Linked DNA regions of Sus scrofa. The protein of the gene in region 3 interacts with the protein of the main gene of each other region in a biochemical or structural test. Links are inferred from orthologs where the notes say so. Each region holds a gene or a part of one and is shown on either strand. Other genes may lie near its edges.

Region 1 (4,501 bases), on a different chromosome or scaffold from region 3:
TGACATAGAGCCAGTTTCTTGGCTTCTCTGTGGCTCAGGTTCCTCATCTCTAAAATGAGAAGATTGGCAGGGAATGAATCTTGTGGCTCAGCAGTAACGAACCCAATGAGAATCCACGAGGATGCTGGTTTGATCCCTGGCCTCGCTCAGTGGGTTCAAGATCTGACGTTGCCATGAGCTGTGGTGTAGGTCACAGACACAGCTCAGGTTTTGCGTTGCTGTGGCTGTAGCATAGGCCCGCAGCTGTAGCCCCAATCTGACCCCCAGCCTGGGAACCTCCATATGCTGCATATTTGGCCCTAAAAAGCAAAAGAAAGAACCCAACTAGTGGGAGTTCCCATCATGGCTCAGCAGGTTATGAACCTGACTAGTATCCATGAGGATGCGGGTTCAATCCCTGGCCTTGCTCAGTGGGTTAAGGATCTGGCGTTGCCGTGATCTATGGTGTGGGTCAAAGATGTGGCTCGGATTCGGTGTTGCCAAGGCTGTGGCATAGGCTGGCAGCTACAGCTCCAATTCGACCGACCCTTAGCCCAGGAACGTCCATATGTCACAGGTGTGCCCCTAAAAATGAAAATTAAATAAAATAAAATGAGAAGATTGGTCTACATGGTGTCTAAGGGACCTTCTTATTCCAAAATTTTAGGATTCTAAATTAAGTTACGTGACTTTGAGGTCTCACCAAGCACTGGCCTTAGGTTCAGCTGACCCTGCTGATCGGCCCCTGTGATTCTGATCTAAGGCTGACGAGACTGCTAACGGCCACTGGGCTCTTGTTGTGCACCTGGCACTGCACTTGCCACGCTCCAATTCCCCGAGTCCTCACAATGCCCCCTTTGAAATCAATATCCTTATTATCCTCCGTCTATGGAAGAGAAGACAGGGGCCTCTAAAGGTTAAGTGACTTCCCCAGGCTTCTGGCTGGTGGAGCTGAGATTGAAATTCAGGCAGCCTGGCTCTAGAACCTGCTTCCTCAGCCTCCTCTGCTGGAGAGCAGAGGGCAGTGTTGGTGCAGCCAGAAGACAGAAGGACAGAAGGGCCAAGGACCTTCCTTGCTGGAAATGCTCCTTCTGAAGCTCCCTGGGCAGCTTTGGGTCTTTGCTATTTTCTCCCTGTTTTCCCTTCCACCTGCGGCCCCGGGTCCCCTGCCCTCTTAGTCCAGAATGACAGACATCGGCTAACTAGTGAGGCGAGTAGGCTAAGCATGAGGTTTCTTGGAGAGCCTTTGAGGAGCATACCTGTGATAAGGAACATTTGAGTAAAGTCTAATATCCTGTAACTTTTGAGTTGTTGTCTTTTGAAGACCGCACTTGTGGCACATGGAAGTTCCCGGCCTACCGCACAGCCATAGCCACACCAGATCCGAGCTGCGTCTGTGGCCTACACCACAGCTCATGGCAACACTGGATCCTTAACCCACTGAGTGAAGCCAGGGATCCGACCCACGTTCTCATGCATACTTAGTGGGTTTGTTGCCACTAAGCCACAACAGGAACACCTTCCTTCCGTATCTTTCTGAGAGGTCGTCCATGGCTCCTGCCTGCCTATGGGGTGTCAGAGGTGCTCAGGAGGGCTTTCGCTCTCATAGTCTTCCCCGAAGGTAGGATACAGTCTGGCCTAATTAAGAGAACCCAAGGGCATTCCTGTTCGGGCGCAGCGGGATCAGTGGTGTCTCTTCAGCGGGAGGAGACAGGTTCGACCCCCAGCCTGGCACAGGGTGTTAAAGGATCCGGCACTGCTGCAGCTGTAGCATAGGTCATAGCTGTGGCTCAGATCTGACCCCAGGCCCGGGAACTCCATAAGCTGTGGGGTGGCCAAAAAAAAGAAAGAAAAACGAGAACTCTGGGATTTCAAGTCATAGTCAGCCTTGGTCCTTGGTCCTCGTGGTAGAAGTTAATTTGGCTTGAAGGACACTCCCCTTCTGGGCCCACAGCTGAACTTTGGGCTTGCGGTCAGAACTAGACATGACTCTGCTGGAAGATGGCCCTGAGGCCTGGCCTCTGTCCCTGCTGCCAGGGCTCCCTGGCCCCCTCCCTATGGGCATCCTGGGTTCAGGAGGCTTTGTTTGTTCATTCTGTCTTGCTGCCACTAAACTGGATGACTTCATGGACATCGTTCTAGCCCATAGGTCCATGATCCATCCCCAAACTGGAATGCTCTTTCTTTCCTTGTCGCTCTTCCTCCCAATGACCAATTTTGGTCTCCACTGGGAATAATGGATAGAAGCCTCCTCGGGCTTCTGGGTTTTATATTCTGCTTGTTTCTAGCAAGGGAAAAAAAAAAAAAAAAAAAAAGGTTAGCTTATCATGCACTTTTAGTCCAAGTGGTTTCTCTGTCATTTTGCTCTGAAGGGAGCTGGAAAGATGTCAGCCTTCGAGGGCTGGGAGGGCCCGGGACTGGAGTCTGTGATTCAAGTTGTGGGTGTGCTTCTGGGAGGCAGGTTTCTAGTCTCCGCCTGACCTGAGCGCTCCTTCTTCTCAGACGTGAACGTGGACCAACCAGATGAGAAATCAATTATTACCTATGTGGCTACTTACTACCATTACTTTTCCAAGATGAAGGCCCTGGCCGTGGAAGGCAAAAGAATCGGCAAGGTAGCCTTCACCGGGGCGGAGGCGGGGCGTCAAGGCCGGAGGAGGCCTGGTCGAGGGCTCCTACAGCTTTAAAGCAGGAGCGGGGGAGGACGGGACCGGGGAGCCCACACCACTGTCTTGCAGGTGCTGGACCACGCCATGGAGGCCGAGCGCCTGGTGGAGAAGTATGAGTCCCTGGCCTCGGAGCTGCTGCAGTGGATTGAGCAGACGATTGTGACTCTCAACGACCGGCAGCTGGCCAACTCCCTGAGCGGGGTCCAGAACCAGCTCCAGTCCTTCAATTCCTACCGCACCGTGGAGAAGCCACCCAAGTAGGTGTCCTGGGCCACACCGTGGCACAGCTCGCCCGCCCCAAGCTGGGCTCGCACAACGGGAAGCCTCAGTTTGGGCGGCCTTTGGGGAGGGAAATTTGGCAGCACTTAAATGCAGCCAAGCCTCATTGCCCCAGCTCAGAGCACCAGAGCAGTTCTAAAATTGCATTTTTTTTTTTAAATGACTCCGTTACAAGAAATTATGCTGTGGACATGAATGCTGTGGTTTGTGGAGTCGATGCCATCCGACTGGCACCATCAGGGTGTCACAGCAACCCAGCCCCAGCTTAAGGACGAGGTCTTGGACCCAATGGGCAGGTCGTTGCTGGCCACACCGGTGTGTGGCTGATAACTTGCATGTTGCCCAGGGTCTTATCATGTAGCTATTTTAGCAGCTGACTGTGGCAGTGTGGAGTTGCTGTTGGGCGAGTCTCTACAATACCTGCCCAAACTCTTGTGTTTTTCTGTTATTGAGTCTTTTGGAGTTAATATGTCTTGCCAAGCTAATATTAATCCAGAAAGCATCTCTTCCTGTGGAGTCCAGGGAATGATTTGACGTGTGCCCTTTGACCCAGAAAGTCCTCTTCTGGGCATCAAACAAATATGTCGCTTCCAGGGTGTTCACTGATGTGGTCTTTGTAAACAAAAATAAGTCACGGGATAGCCCCTGAAAATAGTATTGGAGAAATGCCTTTATTGACCTGAAAAGATGTTCATGAAGGATAAGTCTTGCCAGGCAGTTATTTATGTCAGCAGAGAGCAAGGGGCTAAGCATCCAGGTTCAAAGTACCTGAGTTCAAATCCTGGCTCTACCACCTAGCCGTCGTGAGCATTGGGCAACTGATGTAGCTTGTCTGTGCCTCGGTTTTCTCATTGGGAAAATGGGATGAGGGGAGAATGTAGATGAAGTGAGAGCAAAATAAGTTAATTCGTGCAGAGCTCTGGGAACGGGGCCTGACTGTCAGCGAGGGGTCCTTGACACATGTTGGCCATGGCTATGATGTGATCTAATATGCGTAAAGCAAACATGCAGGATGAATGTGCCTGTGGGTGACAGTGGTCCTTTCTCTGTGGTTTTGGATTGGCTCAGCAGTTGATGAACCCGACTAGGATTCATGAGGATGCGGGTTTGATCCCTGGCCCTGCTCAGTGGGTTAAGGAGCTGGTGTTGCCGTGAGCTGTGGTGTAGGTCACAGATGCACCTCGGATCCCCAGTTGCTGTGGCTGTGGTGTAGGCCGGCAGCTGTAGCTCTGATTAGACTCCTAGCCTGGAAACTTCCATATGCCGTGGGTGCAGCCCTAAAAAACAAACCAACAACAAAAAATACAACAAAATAAAATTATGTTCTTTTGGAGTTTCCTGGTGGCTCAGTGGATTAAGGATCCAACGTTGTCACTGCTGTAGTTCGGGTCAGTGCTGTAGCACAGGTTCAGTCCCTTGCCAGAAGAATTCTGCCTGCCACAGGTGTGGCCAAAAAAAACTAAACTAAACTAAATAAAATTAGGTTCCTTTTTTTGGCCACGCCCACAGCATGGGGACCTTCCTGGGCCAGGGATCAAACCTGCGTCACAGCAATGACCTGAGCTACAGCAGTG
Region 2 (5,138 bases), on a different chromosome or scaffold from region 3:
AGGGGACCGGCAGACGAATTTAGACCAGTCCTCGGAGTTGGCGCAGCGCCCTACTGATAGCGCTGGGACAGCACTTATCGCCCCGCGTGGAGACTGCCAGTCAGGAGCCCTTTCCCCACCGACGGCGGGCGCTTCAGGTCGCGATCCCAGTCTATCAATGAATGGTGTTCAAGCAAAGTGAAAAAAAATGAACAGGAGTGTGGCCCTTTCTGAGCGTCTGACCGCCGTGGCGGGTGGGGGGGGGCAGTTGGGTGGTCTGCTAACAGCCCTGCGGGAAAACGCGTCTCGGAATTTGGTGAATTTCTCCGCCTGGGCGTGTTGGGCGGGAGTGAAGTCTGTGCCGACTTGGGCTGCAAACCCAGCCGGGAGCGGAGGGCACGCTGGGGCTTGGGCCAGCAGGCTGGCCAGCCAAAGGGCGAGGGTCACCGGCGCCTCGGCTCGTCGCCCCTGATTCGGAGGTCCTTCCCGCAGGCGCCGGAGCGGCCAGCGCCTGGTGACTCACCCCCGGCCCTTTCCCGAGCTCTCCTCCCCACCCCGCCTGCCCTGCGGGGTCGGTCTCCCAGCCCCCACCCCAGGATCCCTACTCCCGTCTTCCATCTCACCCCCCCCTTATCTCTGGCCGCTCCCTCTCGGGAGATTTCCACCCTGGGGTAGGGGGTGCGGCAGGCCAGAGGTCAGGAGACGGCGGGCGGGGAGCGCCGCCACGTGCCCGCGTGCGGCCCCGCCCGGGCCGGCCAGTGACTCAGCCACGGCGGCTGTCGAGGAACCAGGCTCGGGGGGCGGCGGGTGCCTTTAGGGTTCGCAGCGGCCTCGGGAGCACCGCACCCCTCTGGGGGGGACGGGGAAGGTACGAAGCCCCTTCACGCCCGGGAGGCGCCCCTCCCCCGAGGGACCGGAAGCGGCCAAGCCCCTCAGCGGACCCGGCGGCCAGCCGGGGCTGGTTCACCTAAGCCGGGTCCTAACCCCACCCGCTTCCCAGCGGGCGGCGAACGAACTCTTCGCACACAATTTCTTAGCATAAGTTTTACTGAAAAAAGAAGAGGAAAAAGGCCCAGGGGGCCAGGGTAGAAGGGACTTTCCTCTTCTTGAAAAAGTTGCATGTTGAAACCCTAGTATTCTTCCGCCTTGAAAAATAGGCCCGCCCGCCGCGCCCCGCGGGCGCCGAGGCTCAGTGACCTCTGCAGAGACAGGGTAAGGGGGACGGACGGCGACCCAAACTGCTGACCGGGGCACAGTCATGGAGTGAGGCCTAAGGCTGGAGCTGATCCAGCGCGAGGGATAATCCCCGTGGAGTCGGGTGGGCTCCAGCGAGTGCAACTTATGCCGCCGTGCAGATGCTGAGGACAGAAGTGTCCCCGGTGGGCGCCTTCAACTTGGAAAATGGTCGGGGTATTTTGTCAAATTTCCCTTTACTGCCTTTATTTCTTGAATAAATAAAATCAAGAGTGCAGAAGCGGTAACGTGCGCGCCTCACCCCCGCCCCTTCCGCCCAGCAGCAGACACGTCCCCGGCCCGCCTTCCTTCGCTGGGGGTCCAATTCGGCCCGGCCCGGCGCGCCCCGGCGCGCGCCCGCGAAGCCGGCGGCCGGCCCTAACCGCCCCACGCGCTCTCGCTCTCTGCCCCGGCGCAGGCGCGGGCGCACGCGCTGCCGCCGCCTGCCGTTCCTCCCCCCGCAACCCCACAGCAGAGGTGGGGGAAGGGGGAGTCGTTCCGTTTAACCCTGAGTTCCCCGAACCCTCTTAATCTGCTAAATTTGCAGCTCGCTAGTTCTTTCTCCGTTCACTTTCCTTCCTCCCTCTGGCTCACTCTCTTTCCCTACACCAAAGTCTAATATTCTATGCAAATTGGCGCGAGCCCCAACTCTAACCCCCCCGCCTCCCATCCTTTCAGCGTCGGTTCCCATCGAACTCGGCAAATTTTGCAATAGGGGGAGGGATTTTTTAAATTGCATTTGCAAAGTTCGGTATCTGGGCAGGCGAGAAGGAGGAGGGAGGGGATGAGGAGTAGGCCCCGCCCCCACCGCCCTTTGCAAATAAAAATCTAGGGGGGTGGGGAGGAGCAGGAAGTGGCGGTGCGAGGGCTGCTGCACAGCTAGCAGAGCCGCGGTCCGGACGGCAGCGCGTGCCCCAAGCTCTCTGCCTTCCCCCGCCCGCCAGTCCGAGGCAGCCCGAGCCCAACCCGCGGCCCCAGCAGTAGCCCCGAGAGCAGCCCCAGTAGCAGCGCCATGGCCGGGTGGAACGCCTACATCGACAACCTCATGGCGGACGGGACCTGTCAGGACGCGGCCATCGTGGGCTATAAGGACTCGCCCTCCGTCTGGGCCGCCGTCCCCGGGAAAACCTTCGTCAACATCACGGTACTGCGAGGCCTGCGGGGTCTGGGGAACTGGCCGGGCTTGGACCCTGAGGGAGGGACTTGGGTGGGGGCGGGCACGCTCTGGAGAGCGCAGCGAAAAGCCGTGGTCGCTCCTGGCCCTGGAAGTGGCGCGAATGGTGGCTGCACGTGAGCCGGTCCGTCCCGGGGCCCCCCGAGTCGTACGTCCCGGGCGGCGGCGCCCGGCCAGCCCGCCGGCCCCGCTCTCCGAGACGGGGCGTTACATCCGGGGCACAGGGCGGGGAGGGGCGCGCCGCCCGGTGCGGCGGCCCACTTCCGTCTCCTCCAGGGCGGGGCGGGCACACGCTGCAGTTTCAACCCGGGATTGTGATTGAGAAGGGACTCGGGGACCCCTGGACCCTGAGCTCCACTTCCGCCCGCCTGCTCGCGCCCCCTCCACCATTGTTCCTCCTTATGCGGTGGGAGCCCGGCTCGCGTGGCCAAGGTCCCATGCCCGTCCTCTGCGCTCCCTGCCCCTCCCAGCTCCGTTAGAGAGGGCTAGGCCGCCTCACGCCCTCCGCCCCCCCGCAGTCGGCACGTTAGACTCAACATTCCTGTGAGACCGATCCCGGAAGTCCCCTCGCCCTCCCTTCCCGCCATCCGGCGGGGCCTGGAGCAGGGGAACTTTGTGAGAAGTTCTAGGACTGAATTATCAGTGAAGGAGTAAGGGATGACTTCTGCTGTCCCCTCACCACCTCCCCAGTCCACACTGCCCGGAAGTGGGGAGGGGGAGCGGAAGTTCGAAAGGGGGGGAAGGGGATTTCCGGGCGGGAGGGGACCGGATGTGGGGATTTGGGGTGTAAGGGGGAGGGGAGAGAGTTTCCCTGGGGTATCAAGACCCGAGAGCTGGCTTGCTGGGTCTAGCCCCAGGCCCCCTCCAAAAGTTTTTCAACTTTCCCGGAATGCCCCCAGACATCTTGCTTCCTCCTCTTAGAGCACAGATACCTGGACCTGAACTCAAGGTTACTTAGAGACCCAGGCGTCCGGGCCCCTAACAACTCCTGTAGAACCTTTGACCAAATAAGGGCAAAGTTGCTTCTCCTGCTTCGCCCGCCCCCTCCCTTCCCCTCTTCGCTTCTGCTTTTCCTGAAGGAGACTTCTGAGCATCCAAAGGCTCTCCAGTCCATTCCACTCCACTCTCCTCACTCCTTTTTGGCCCCCTTTATTTCCTGGGTTTGCTTTCCCAAGAAATGACATCTAAGTCTCCAGGGGAATATGTCGTCCCTTTCTGTTACCATTCTCCTAAGTTTGAGGATCATGATCTTTTTGTGCACGAACTTCCGACAGTCCTGAGTTGCTCAAATTTCACTGGTGTGTACAAAGCACATAACATACACCCCTCCCAGGGGGGTTAGCTTCCTGAAGAAATGGAAGGCAGGTGGGTCCTTGGAGAAGGTGGGAACCTTGGGGTACTGACTAACTTGATGGTGCTTGGTTCCCCTTCCAGCCAGCTGAGGTTGGTGTCCTGGTTGGCAAAGACCGGTCAAGTTTTTTCGTGAATGGGCTAACGCTTGGGGGCCAGAAATGCTCTGTGATCCGGGACTCACTGCTGCAGGACGGGGAATTTACCATGGATCTTCGTACCAAGAGCACTGGCGGAGCCCCCACCTTCAATATCACTGTCACCATGACTGCCAAGAGTGAGTTTCTGAGTTTTTTGCCCTTTCCCTAATGGACCTCCTTCTGCTAATCTTTCGGGTTTTCTTTGTGGATTCCCCAGTATGAAGGGATCAGGCCTGGGACGCTGGATTGTCCCTCTAGTTCTGTCTCAGTTCCTCATCTTAGAAAGAAGTTGAACTGTATTACCTCTTAAGTTCCTTCTTGCCTTGAGTCTTTTTAGCTGGGAAACTCTCTGGTTTTCTTGGAGGAGGTAGGCTGTTAGTTCTAAGTCGGCACTTGAGCTCTTGTCTTTGGGGCTCTTTGTTAAAACTTGGAGGTGGCAGGCTCATCCACAGCCATTTCTAGCCTGAACACATGAGTCAACTGTCTGCGAGCCTTTGACCCCTAAATTTTACTGTGTTCCTTTCCAGCCTTTAAGCTTGATTTTCCCCTTTTGAAAAGCCCTATTGTTTCAGGGTGACTGACAGCCTGCCTGTGTGTGGGGGGTTGGGAAAGATGAGGTTGGGTTACAGCCCCCAGGGCTGGACAGCTGCTGAACAGCTGGCGGGAGTGGGATTGTGACACCTGGGTCCTAGCCTCCTTTCTCTTTCCTCCAGCGCTAGTCCTGCTGATGGGCAAAGAAGGTGTCCACGGTGGTATGATCAACAAGAAATGTTATGAAATGGCTTCCCACCTGCGGCGTTCCCAGTACTGACCTCGTCTGTCCCTCCCCTTCACTCCCCACTGCTTTTGCACCCCTCTCCTTCCCACACACACACATCCACCATTTTTATTTTTTGGGCCATTACCCCACACCCCTTATTGCTGCCAAAACCACGTGGATTGGGGGCCAGGGCTGGATGGACAGACACCTCCCCCAACCCATACCCTTTCCTGTGTGTGGTTGGAAAACTTTTTTTGTTTTTTGGGTTTTTTTTTTTTTTTTTTTTTTTTTTTCTGAATAAAAAAAGATTCTAACAAGGTGCTGTGTGGTTTTAGCCTGGGTATCAGGACGGAGGACAGCCACCATGACCTGCCTCCTCCATTCTGGCTTGGGGTTAGGGTTGAGGCACTGCACATCTAGGAATTTAAGCTTCTTGCTGTCGTGTCCAGGCTTAAACATCTGCTTCAGGGTCTACCTGGCAGGTGGCTCAGCCCTTCCGCAA
Region 3 (5,178 bases):
GGAAGGCAGGGACTTCCTGTAACAATGCATCTCATGATACTTGGAATGACTATTTAAAAAAAAAAAAAAAAAAAAAAAAAAAGAACAATGTACAATCAAAGTCCTCGGCCACATTGTAAAACTTTGGGGGATGCTCCATCCAACCGACTGCTGTCACCTTCACCGTTCCAGTTTTTAAATCCTGAGTCAAGCGCCAAAAAAAAAAAAAAAAAAAAATATCAAGACAAAAAAAAAAACCAAAAAAACAAAACCAAATAAAGCCATGCCAATCTCATCTCATTTTCTGCGCAAGTTAGGTTTTGTCAAGAAAAAGGTGGAATGCAACTAACAGTCCGCCTAGAAGCATTTGCGGTGGACGATGGAGGGGCCGGACTCGTCGTACTCCTGCTTGCTGATCCACATCTGCTGGAAGGTGGACAGCGAGGCCAGGATGGAGCCGCCGATCCACACGGAGTACTTGCGCTCTGGAGGCGCGATGATCTGGAAGGAGAAGGGGACAGTGAGGCGGGTGGCGGTCAGAGCCCTGGTCCCCAGAGCACCCGCTCCGCGGCGGCTGCCGTGGCACCCACGCCGCCCGGCCGCACCCGGCCAGCTCAGGCTGGGCACTCACCTTGATCTTCATCGTGCTGGGCGCCAGGGCCGTGATCTCCTTCTGCATCCTGTCGGCGATGCCTGGGTACATGGTGGTGCCACCCGACAGCACCGTGTTGGCGTAGAGGTCCTTGCGGATGTCGACGTCGCACTTCATGATGGAGTTGAAGGTAGTTTCGTGGATGCCGCAGGATTCCATGCCTGAGGGGGGAGAGAAGCCCGACTGAGCTTCCGCTGTGGCCACCACCGGGTGAGCCAGGGGGGGCGGGGGGAAGGCAGGGCCAGGGCTGCGTCCTCACCCAGGAAGGAGGGCTGGAAGAGCGCCTCGGGGCAGCGGAAGCGCTCGTTGCCGATGGTGATGACCTGGCCGTCGGGCAGCTCGTAGCTCTTCTCCAGGGAGGAGGAGGACGCGGCAGTGGCCATCTCCTGCTCGAAGTCCAGGGCGACGTAGCACAGCTTCTCCTTGATGTCCCGCACGATCTCCCGCTCGGCCGTGGTGGTGAAGCTGTAGCCCCGCTCCGTCAGGATCTTCATGAGGTAGTCGGTCAGGTCCCGGCCAGCCAGGTCCAGACGCAGGATGGCGTGGGGCAGGGCGTACCCCTCGTAGATGGGCACCGTGTGGGTGACCCCGTCTCCGGAGTCCATCACGATGCCAGTGGTGCGGCCAGAGGCGTACAGGGACAGCACGGCCTGGATGGCCACGTACATGGCTGGGGTGTTGAAGGTCTCGAACATGATCTGGAGGGAGGGAGGGACGCTGTCACCCTCGGGAAGCCGCCGGGGGCAGTCAGGCCGGACTGGGGACATGCAGAGAGTGCAAGGAACACGGCTAAGTGTGCTGGGGACCCCAGGTCGGGGAGTCACGTCAGACCTACTGTGCACCTACGGGATACACACTCCGAGGCCCCTTTACGGCAGCCTCGTCGGCTTTGTCACACGAGCCAGTGTTAGTACCTATACACCCACAGCACCTTATGCTTTTAACACCTAGTCAGAAAGGCAAACACGAGAAAGACTCCAGCTGGGGAAAAGCAAATAGAACCTGCAGAGTTCCAAAGGAGACTCAGGTCAGAGAAGAAAAGTCCTAGGAAAATGGCAGAAGAAAGAACAAGTGAGAAAGGGCGTGGCAAAGAGGGGCAAGAGAGGAGGGGGCGGCCGCCCGAGAGAGCCCAGTGGGCCACTGACCTGGGTCATCTTCTCACGGTTGGCTTTGGGGTTCAGGGGGGCCTCGGTCAGCAGCACGGGGTGCTCCTCGGGGGCCACACGCAGCTCGTTGTAGAAGGTGTGGTGCCAGATCTTCTCCATGTCGTCCCAGTTGGTGACGATGCCGTGCTCGATGGGGTACTTGAGGGTCAGGATGCCTCTCTTGCTCTGGGCCTCGTCCCCCACGTAGGAGTCCTTCTGGCCCATGCCCACCATCACGCCCTGCGGAAGGAGGGGCGAGGCGCCTTCAGCCCGGGCCCGGCCCCACCGGCCCCCACGCAGAAAGCCTCCCCCTTCCCTCCACCTGCTACCAAGACCCCACCCACCAAGTCAGACCCGAGGGCGGCGCCCTACCTGGTGTCGGGGGCGCCCCACGATGGAGGGGAAGACGGCCCGGGGAGCATCGTCGCCCGCAAAGCCGGCCTTGCACATGCCGGAGCCGTTGTCGACCACGAGCGCAGCAATATCGTCATCCATGGCGAACTGCAGGGGCAGCAGGACCGTGAGCCGGAGGCCGGGTGCGGCCGCCTCCGCCCTACTCACTTCCGGCGCGACGCGCGTTCGAGCCGCCAGGGGGCGCCGGCACGCGCCCAGATTGGGGACAAAGGAAGCCGGCCGGCCGCGTTATTACCATAAAAGGCAAACGCTGGTCGGAGGCGGCCCCGAGGCGCGCGGCAGGAAGCCAGGCCTCCGCCCCCTCCCCACTGGGCGCCAGCCCCGCCCCGCCCAAAAAGCGCCACTCGGCGGGCGCGCGGCGACCACACCCGGGGCGGCCCGTGGCTCCGCGAGGAAGTGCGCGCAGGCGCTCTCGCGCCGCGGCGACCCCACCCCTTCCGGCCGCCCGCCCCGCCCTCGCCTCCTGGGCCTACGGCGCACACGCACGCGCACTGGCGTCCCAGCCCCCACCCGGCTCGGCCACCGCGCCGCGCCCACCCACCCGCCCCGCCGCCCGGCTGCACTGCTCTCCCGCCGGCGGAGCGATCGGCCCGCTCGGACAAAGAATCGCCGCCGCTAGGGCTCCCAAAGAAACACTCTGGGAGCGCTCCCCGAGCGCAGCCCGGGCCCCGAACGAGGAGCGCATGAGTCCATTCCCGGCACCCGGCCGGCTGTCCACGGGGCCGGGGCGGAGGGGGCCACCTGCCCACAAGAGGCACGGGCCCAGCGCATCAGCGGCCCGGCCGGTGCGGGGACCCTACCTGGTAGCGGTGTAGACCGGCGGCGAAGGCGGAGCGGCAAGGGCGAGGGGCCTGTGCTGGCGGAGTGGACGCGGTCTCGGCTGTGGCTGTGCGTCGCGCCGCCGGGTTTTATGGGGCGCAGTCGCGGCGGCTCGAGCCATAAAAGGCAACTTTCGAAACGGCGAGCGCTGATTGGCCCCGCGCCGCTCACTCACCGGCCTCGCCGCACAGTGCAGCATTTTTTTACCCCCTCTCCCCTCCTTTTGCAAAAAAAAAAAAAAAGAAAAAAAAAAAAAAAGAAAGAGGGAGGGAGATGGACTGGCTAGGAGAGAGCGAGAGCGAGATTGAGGAAGAGGAGGGAGAGAGTTTTGGCGTCGGCCGCCCTTGGGTGCTGGGCCCCAACAGTGGGCCGCCGCCCGCCTGAGCAGTGTCGGGTCCGGCCCCGCTTGGCCAGGCCTGCACCCGGCCTGCTGGTCTCCGGGTCTCCCCACCCCGGCACCCTCCGAATGTGGATGCCCCAAAGCAGTGAGCGCCCCTGTGGGCAAGGGTCAGCACGGATGCGAGAGTCCCTGGTTGCTGTGGGTGCATGCTTAAGGAGCAGGTGGGGGAAAGGAGTGATGAGAGAGTCACCCTCCCCTTGGCGACATTAGCTCTGCTGCCCAGAAAGCCTGGGTAAGGGGGGGCCCCGACTGGGGGTGCTGAGCTTGCTAAGTGGGGGTGCTGAGCTTGCTAAGGGGGCACATTACTTAGAGACCGTGGGCTTGAGGGCTATGGTGGGGCATGCTTGAGTCAGGGGACTTGGAGACACGTAGCAGGGGCTTCAGGACTGCAGTCTCTAGGGACAGGACAGGCCCCAGGGGCTGGGGGCTGGAAGTTCCCCGTGAAGAGGGCTCCAGGCCTCCCTTGCTGCAGGCCCAGGAGAGGTGGGCTCCGTAGAGCAGAGAAGCTGTTCCCATGGAGCTGGGCTGCGGCTGAGGCTGCCTGGTCACACCCAGCCAAGGCCAAGCCTGGGCCATTAGCTGGCGACCCAGGCAGCTGCCAAGCACTGCTGGCTGCAGGCAGGCAGGGCCACTGAGCACAGCTCTGGGACCCACCATCCATCGTCTGTCTGTCACGTGCAGCCACAGCTGAACTGCCCTCCTAGACCATCTGGAGGCCACCAAGGACTGGGGAAGGACATTCAATGTGCCAGAGAGGAGTTAGGGGGAGGGGGGTGGGGCAGCAGGGACCAGCTGGGGCCCACTCCTGCCCTGGTCTCTCCACCAAACACGGGGTCAGACCTGGGTGCCCCCGGGTGTTCCCAGTGGTTCCCTGCTCTGGGAACTGCCTGTCCAGCAGGGAGAGCCTGCACCCAGGCGGGGGCCACCAGTGGGCAGTGAGTGGCCGAAGGAAGCCCAGCGGGGCAGCGTGGAGGTGCACCTTCTCCGAGGCCGTGACAAGCTGAATTTTCCCACAAAGGAAACAGGGCAGAGGGGTCCAGGTGGGGGCCCTGGCCTGCCCTCGGGCGTCTGTCTCCAGGTCTGCCTAGGGCTTTGCTACGCATAGTAGGTGCTCCTTGAGTGTGTGTTGAAACCAGCGAAAGATTAGTCCATATATGGGTGTGGAATCTGGCCAGGGAAGAGGCAGCTTGGTCCAGCCCCCTGTGGGAGGCCAGTGGCAGGGCACTTGGAAGGTTGCAGAGGCTACAAACAGGTAGGAAGGGTGACCGTCCCCCAGCGCACAGCAGAGCCTGCAGGCTCAGGGCCACCAGCTAGCATTCCCAGGGAACAACTCCCCCAACCCCGCCCCAGGCCTGGGCGAATGTTCCCAGCCCATCCACTCCCTCCCTCCCAGGGGCCAGACTGCGCTCCCTGTCCCAGGCCTTGTGTCTCTCAGTCGTGGGCGAGGGGCCAGCCACCTCAGGACCTGCCAGCCCTGTGATTCGGGGGTTGGGGCGGGAGGTGGGGTTTGCTGCGGGTTGATGGGCTGCCAGCCCGGTGGGGGGGCTGGTCACACTGGGACCACTGCAGGGCCCCCCGGGCAGGGCAAGGATGGAGAGCCAGGCTGGTCCCCAGGCAGGACCTGTGCTGCCACCTGGCCTCTTCTCAACCAGGGCCAGCCAAGGGGCACGCTCGCCCCCACTGACCTGGGGGCCTGGTACCCTCCTGGCCCTCTGTCTGCCGCAGCCCAGTGGTCTCCTGTGCCGGCCAGCATCCCCCTCCTCCTGCGG
Region 4 (5,120 bases), on a different chromosome or scaffold from region 3:
GCTAGGCACTAGGGGTATTTAACTGAGTAAGACAGGGTGGTCCTTGCCCCCTAGCAGCCTGAAAATCTTCCCTACAGACAGAGTACAGTTCATTAGAGATGTTTTAGCCAAGTGCTCTGGGACCCTGACAATGTTGAGTACAGCACCTGCCACAGTATTAAACTCTTTTTTTTTTCTTTCTTTTTTTAGGGCCGCACCTGTGGCATGTGGAGGTTCCCAGGCTAAGGGTCAAATAGGAGCTACAGCTTCTGGTCTATGCTACAGCCACAACCATGCCAGATCTGAGCCATGTCTTCGACCTACACCACAGCTCACGGCAACGCCAGATCCTTAACCCACTGAGCGAGCCCGGGGATTGAACCCGCAACCTCATGGTTCCTCATCAAACTCATTTCCACTGCACCACAATGAGAACGCCAATAAACTCTTTATTATTGGAAAGAGTGGTAGTTGGTTGCTGGTTGCTGTAGTAGATGTTCTAGACCCAGAGGAGTTGTTGCCTGGTTTAAAAGAAGATGCTGTGTGGAGTTCCCGTTGTGGCGCAGTGGTTAACAAATCCAACTAGGAACCATGAGGTTGAGGGTTCAATCCCTGGCCTTGCTCAGCGGCTTAAGGATCCGGTGTTGCCATGAGCTGAGCTGTCACAGACGTGGCTCGGATCCTGTATTGCTGTGGCTCTGGTGTAGGCTGACAGATATAGCTCCAATTAGACCCCTGGCCTGGGAACCTCCATATGCCGTGGCTATGCCGTGGCAGCGGCCCTAGAGAAGACAAAAAGACCAAAAGAAAAAAGAAAAAAAAAAAAAAAAAGATGCTGTGTTAAGAGTGAAGTTCACAGGATAAGTGCTTTTGTTGGGTGTGGAAAAAGGAGCCTGGGAGTACTATGGCACCACAGGTCACTGTAGCAGCTTGAGTGCAGCCAAAGGAAAAAAAAAAAGTTTGGAGCCTGCAAGTTCCTTCACTGCAGGGCTTATTTCCACCACAGCTATTGATTATGGTATTGATTATGAAATAATACATGTAAAGGATTTAGCCCAGTGCCTAGCAAATAATAAGCATTCAGTAAATATTAGCTATTGTTCTTCTAGTAAAGAGGCTTTTCAGTGATTGGAATTAGTAAAGCAGGGTTAATTCCTCTCCTTAGGGGAATGAGAGGAGAGGCTTGTCAAATACATCTTTCACATTCCCGGTATCAGTTCTGGGACTAGGCAGTGAGGAACCAGTGAGGTTACAGAATAGACAGGTAGACAACCTTCAGGGTACTGTCTCAAGGGGAGTCTTTAGTACCTATATTGGGTGACTTCATACCTATATTCTGAGAGGAAAGCTGAGGGTAGCAGAAACAAAATAACCATTTGAAAGCAAACACTGTGATTTTTTTTAAAACTTAAGTCTTGTGGACCAATAATTTAAAAAGCAAACCAGTAATAATGTTTTTAAAAGTCTCACACCACCTCCTGTGTCATCTGTTCATGCAGTTTGATGGCCCAGCTCTGTGGTTCAGATCTGACTGTGGGCTGCCCCAGCCCTGCCTCAGCTCTGGCAGGGTGTCTGCCTGCGGAGCCTGCAGTCTCTGAAAATTCATCCCACAGTCCCGCGTTGATAACAGTTGCAGTTACATTAGCGATGCACACAGAGTGGACAGCTCAATTGTATGCATTTGACACATAAATATAGGAAAGAAAAGATGTCTAGTTGTGCTTCCATTGAGTAGATTCACTGGCTCTAGGTTTTGTCCAGTTAACCAGATCCGACTTACTGAGTTTGGGGTGGAGAGTGCGCGTGAGGAGAGTTGAGCGATGGCTAGGGGTGTGGAAGGGCTGGGGCCCCCTTCGGACCTGTGCCCAGGCTGGCCGGGGCTGGGCGGGGCGGGGGGGTGGCCGGCACCGCCCCCCGGGCAGGGGCGGGGCGGCGGACGGCTCCTCCCCCAGCAGGCGGGCGGTGCTGTGCGGCGGGCTCCTCTTGGTGCCTAGGTTTGGGCGGTCGGCCTGGAATCGCTCAGACTCTCTGAGTCCGGGCTGGGTGTACAGGCGGCGGCGGCGGCGGCGGCGGCGGCGGAAGGATGAACAGCATCAAGAACGTGCCGGCGCGGGTGCTGAGCCGCAGGCCGGGCCACAGCCTGGAGGCCGAGCGCGAGCAGTTCGACAAGACCCAGGCAAGCGGCGGGGCCGCGGGCGGGCGGGCGGCGCCCTCTCCCCTTCCCCTCACACGGGTCCCTCGGGGCTCGGCCTGCGCCCGCCTTCTGACCGCGCAGGGCTCTGGCTGCCTCCTGGCCACCTCGCTCCCCGGCCACTTCGCTCCCCCGGCTGCCTCTCGGTCACGGCCACCTAGCTCCCCGGCCTCCGCCACCCGAGCCGCCCAGCGCGCAGGTGAACCGGAAGCGCGCGCCGGCGCCCGGGGCCCAGGTGGGGAGGGATCGAGGTGACTGGGGACCAAGATGCGGCCGGGGACTGAGATGCGACTGGGGACCCAGGTGGTTGGGGACCCAGGTGGTGGGGGACTGAGGTGTCCAGGGACTGAGATGCGGTTGGGGACCGAGGTGGCCAGGGACAGAAGTGTCCGAGGACTGAGATGCGGCCGGGGATCAAGGTGGTCAGGGACCGAGGTGGCCGGGGACAGAGGAGTCCAGGGACTGAGATGCGTACGGGGACCAACTTGGCTGGGAGCCGAGGTAGCGAAAAGTGGGACCCAGGTGAAGGGGGCCTAGACCGGGCGGTGGACCAGGTGGGGATCAAGGCGCATCCCGGGCCTGGATGCGTCCGGCCGACGGTGGCGACCCGACTGCATTTCTCTGCCCAGGCGGCGCCTCCCCTCCCAGCTCCTGCCACCTTCTTACACGCCTTGCAAAAATGCCCCCCTCCTTGGGAAAGCAATGCATTTCCTTAAAGGAAACTCCCTGCTTCCTTTTCTCCTGAGCTGTTTTCCAGGGCCGCACAATATCTTATTATCTGCTGGGCGAAAAGTTTCACGTATGTAGCCAGACTTGTTTGCCCGAGCGCTGGCCCACATAGAAACAGGTTCACACCCCCTTATTAAATGCCGGCGCCTGACAGAAACTTCCTGGGGCTCCCTTCCTGCACGTCCCACGCTTGGGCATCTCTTCCAGAGGGTGGCCTATCCTGGGAAGTTTAGTTTAAAAATGAAACAATGACGGGGGTGTATATTCCTCCATGTGTTCCTACTGAGACCACACTGACTAGGGCGTTGCTGTGTTTCTGGTTTTCTGTTCCTTTTTATTTTACAAACACTGAGGTGTTCTTATGCCTGGGGGCCGGGAGAGGAGAGCCTACTTGTTTATTTGCCAAAATAAGTTAGCCAAGACTGAAACAAACAGCAGAACATTTTTTACTTTAGAAATAAGCCAAAAGGACCATGCTCACCCCTGTCTGAAGCAGGGTGGTGACATATGTGTCTGCCATTAGCAAGTTCCTTACCACCTCTCCCTGCCCAGAGCAGTAACTTCTGTGGTTGCTTTCAAATCAAGTTAGCACATGCAACCTACAGCCACTTTCGTTTTGAAGTAAGAAAAAATGCAGGGGAAACATCTAACCTTTGTGCTTGAGATTAACCAGGAAAATGATAATAAAACCTTGGCTCTACAAAAGCCTAGTGCTAAACCAACTTATAGCCACTAATTACTCATTTATCCCTGTGATCATCATCATCATCTGGCCCACGGTGTATTTTCAGCCAAGATGGAACGTCATAAAAACAAATGTGGTGGAGTTCCCATTGTGGTGCAGTGGCAACGAATCCGACCAGGAACTGTGAGGTTGTGGTTCGATCCCTGGCCTCGCTCCATAGGTTAAGGATCCGACATTGCCCTGAGCTGTGGTGTAAGTCACAGACGCAGCTCGGATCCTAGCCTGGGAATCTCCATTTGCCTCGGGTGCCGCCCTAAAAAGAAAAAAAAACAAACAAACGGAAAAAACAAATGTGGCATTTAGTGTAAAGATATTAATGCAAAATTAATTGTGCCAGAAACTTGAGGAAGGACAGGGAGAAAAAAGTTAATTGGCAGAGAGAATCTGGATGTTGTCAGAGCGTTATTCATTCACTGATCTTCCGTTTTTTTCCGTGCTTTGGAAGAGGTATAAAGAGGTCGGATTGCTACATGGAGGAGGTGAGGTTTAAAGGGCCAAGTTCATTGATCTTACTCTTAAATTGTTATAAACCTTCCTGAATGTCAAAAAGGAACAGTCTCTGATACAGCACCACACATTTTGGTGGTTGGTTTAGTAAACAAGAGGGTTTTGTTTTTGCTGGTTGGGTTTTTCTCAGGGGCCGAGAGGGTTACTTATGCTGAATAATTCTAATAGGCGAATCTCCTAGAATTTACCCATTCCAGGGTTCTTTTTTTCTGGAAAGATGGAGCTCATGTCTAGATTCCCTTGTCTTCAAAGTGACTTATGGAGGGATGTAGGAATAAGGTTTTGTGCATGGTTAATATTTAATTAGCTTGCTCCCAGAAATATCTAGTGAGCTGCCAGCCAGGCCCTGTTGGTGGAAAGGACGTGAAGAGCTGAGGTCGCTGCTTACACGTCTTCTTCTGGGCAGATAATTGTACATCCAACCCACAGATGAACCTGCCCTTTGAAAGGCACCGCCTGTGTTTTCACATTGACCACAGTGCCCTGTGTGGCAGAGGGGTACTTTGGCTTCCTGAGAATTTTTTTTTTTAGGGCCACAGGTGCGGCATATGGAGGTTCCCAGGCTAGGGGTTGAATCAGAGCTACAGCTGCCAGCCTACATCACAGCTTGCGGCAATGCTGGATCCTTAACCCACTGAGCAGGGCCAGGGATTGAACCTGCATCCTCATGGATGCAGGTTTGTTGCTGCTAAGCCACAATGGGAGGCCCAAGCTTCCTGAGAATTTAAGTCCCCACGATCCTGCTGGCCTCGATTCCTCCTGGGTCAAGAGGAGGAAAAACACTTCCATAGCTTTCTTGACAGGCCACACCCTGTTTGGCAAAAAGATTCCTTCCCCGCCCTGGTTGGAAGTGTGAAGGGAGGGCAGTGGTTCTTCTCACGGTGGGTGCTTATGATTGTTGCATGATGCGAGTATGTGAGTGTGTGTGTACAATCCCAGTGGCAATGTCCAGAAGACCGGTCTGTTCTT

Evidence for each region.
Region 1: the proteins of ACTB (region 3) and SPTBN2 form a complex in vitro, tested with the Homo sapiens proteins (2 studies listed by BioGRID). The link is inferred for Sus scrofa from reciprocal best matches to the Homo sapiens genes ACTB and SPTBN2.
Region 2: the proteins of ACTB (region 3) and PFN1 form a complex in vitro, tested with the Homo sapiens proteins (2 studies listed by BioGRID and IntAct, with this or other methods). The link is inferred for Sus scrofa from reciprocal best matches to the Homo sapiens genes ACTB and PFN1.
Region 4: the proteins of ACTB (region 3) and HIP1R form a complex in vitro, tested with the Homo sapiens proteins (2 studies listed by BioGRID). The link is inferred for Sus scrofa from reciprocal best matches to the Homo sapiens genes ACTB and HIP1R.

Annotation. Positions count from the first base shown.
Region 1 is NC_010444.4:5,711,527-5,716,027, forward strand, and holds part of SPTBN2 (spectrin beta chain, non-erythrocytic 2), read left to right. Parts: intron 1-2,481; coding exon 2,482-2,594; intron 2,595-2,717; coding exon 2,718-2,905; intron 2,906-4,501. UniProt on the Homo sapiens protein: Probably plays an important role in neuronal membrane skeleton.
Region 2 is NC_010454.4:51,960,618-51,965,755, forward strand, and holds PFN1 (profilin-1), read left to right. Parts: upstream 1-2,024; 5' UTR 2,025-2,224; coding exon 2,225-2,356; intron 2,357-3,820; coding exon 3,821-4,013; intron 4,014-4,589; coding exon 4,590-4,687; 3' UTR 4,688-4,953; downstream 4,954-5,138. UniProt on the Homo sapiens protein: Binds to actin and affects the structure of the cytoskeleton. At high concentrations, profilin prevents the polymerization of actin, whereas it enhances it at low concentrations. By binding to PIP2, it inhibits the formation of IP3 and DG.
Region 3 is NC_010445.4:4,087,269-4,092,446, forward strand, and holds the start of ACTB (actin, cytoplasmic 1), read right to left. Parts: upstream 3,116-5,178; 5' UTR 2,991-3,115; intron 2,278-2,990; 5' UTR 2,272-2,277; coding exon 2,149-2,271; intron 2,017-2,148; coding exon 1,777-2,016; intron 1,330-1,776; coding exon 891-1,329; intron 793-890; coding exon 611-792; intron 481-610; coding exon 337-480; 3' UTR 330-336; exon of another isoform or gene 1-329. UniProt on the Homo sapiens protein: Actin is a highly conserved protein that polymerizes to produce filaments that form cross-linked networks in the cytoplasm of cells.
Region 4 is NC_010456.5:30,021,097-30,026,216, reverse strand, and holds the start of HIP1R (huntingtin-interacting protein 1-related protein), read left to right. Parts: upstream 1-1,873; 5' UTR 1,874-2,062; coding exon 2,063-2,155; intron 2,156-5,120. UniProt on the Homo sapiens protein: Component of clathrin-coated pits and vesicles, that may link the endocytic machinery to the actin cytoskeleton. Binds 3-phosphoinositides (via ENTH domain).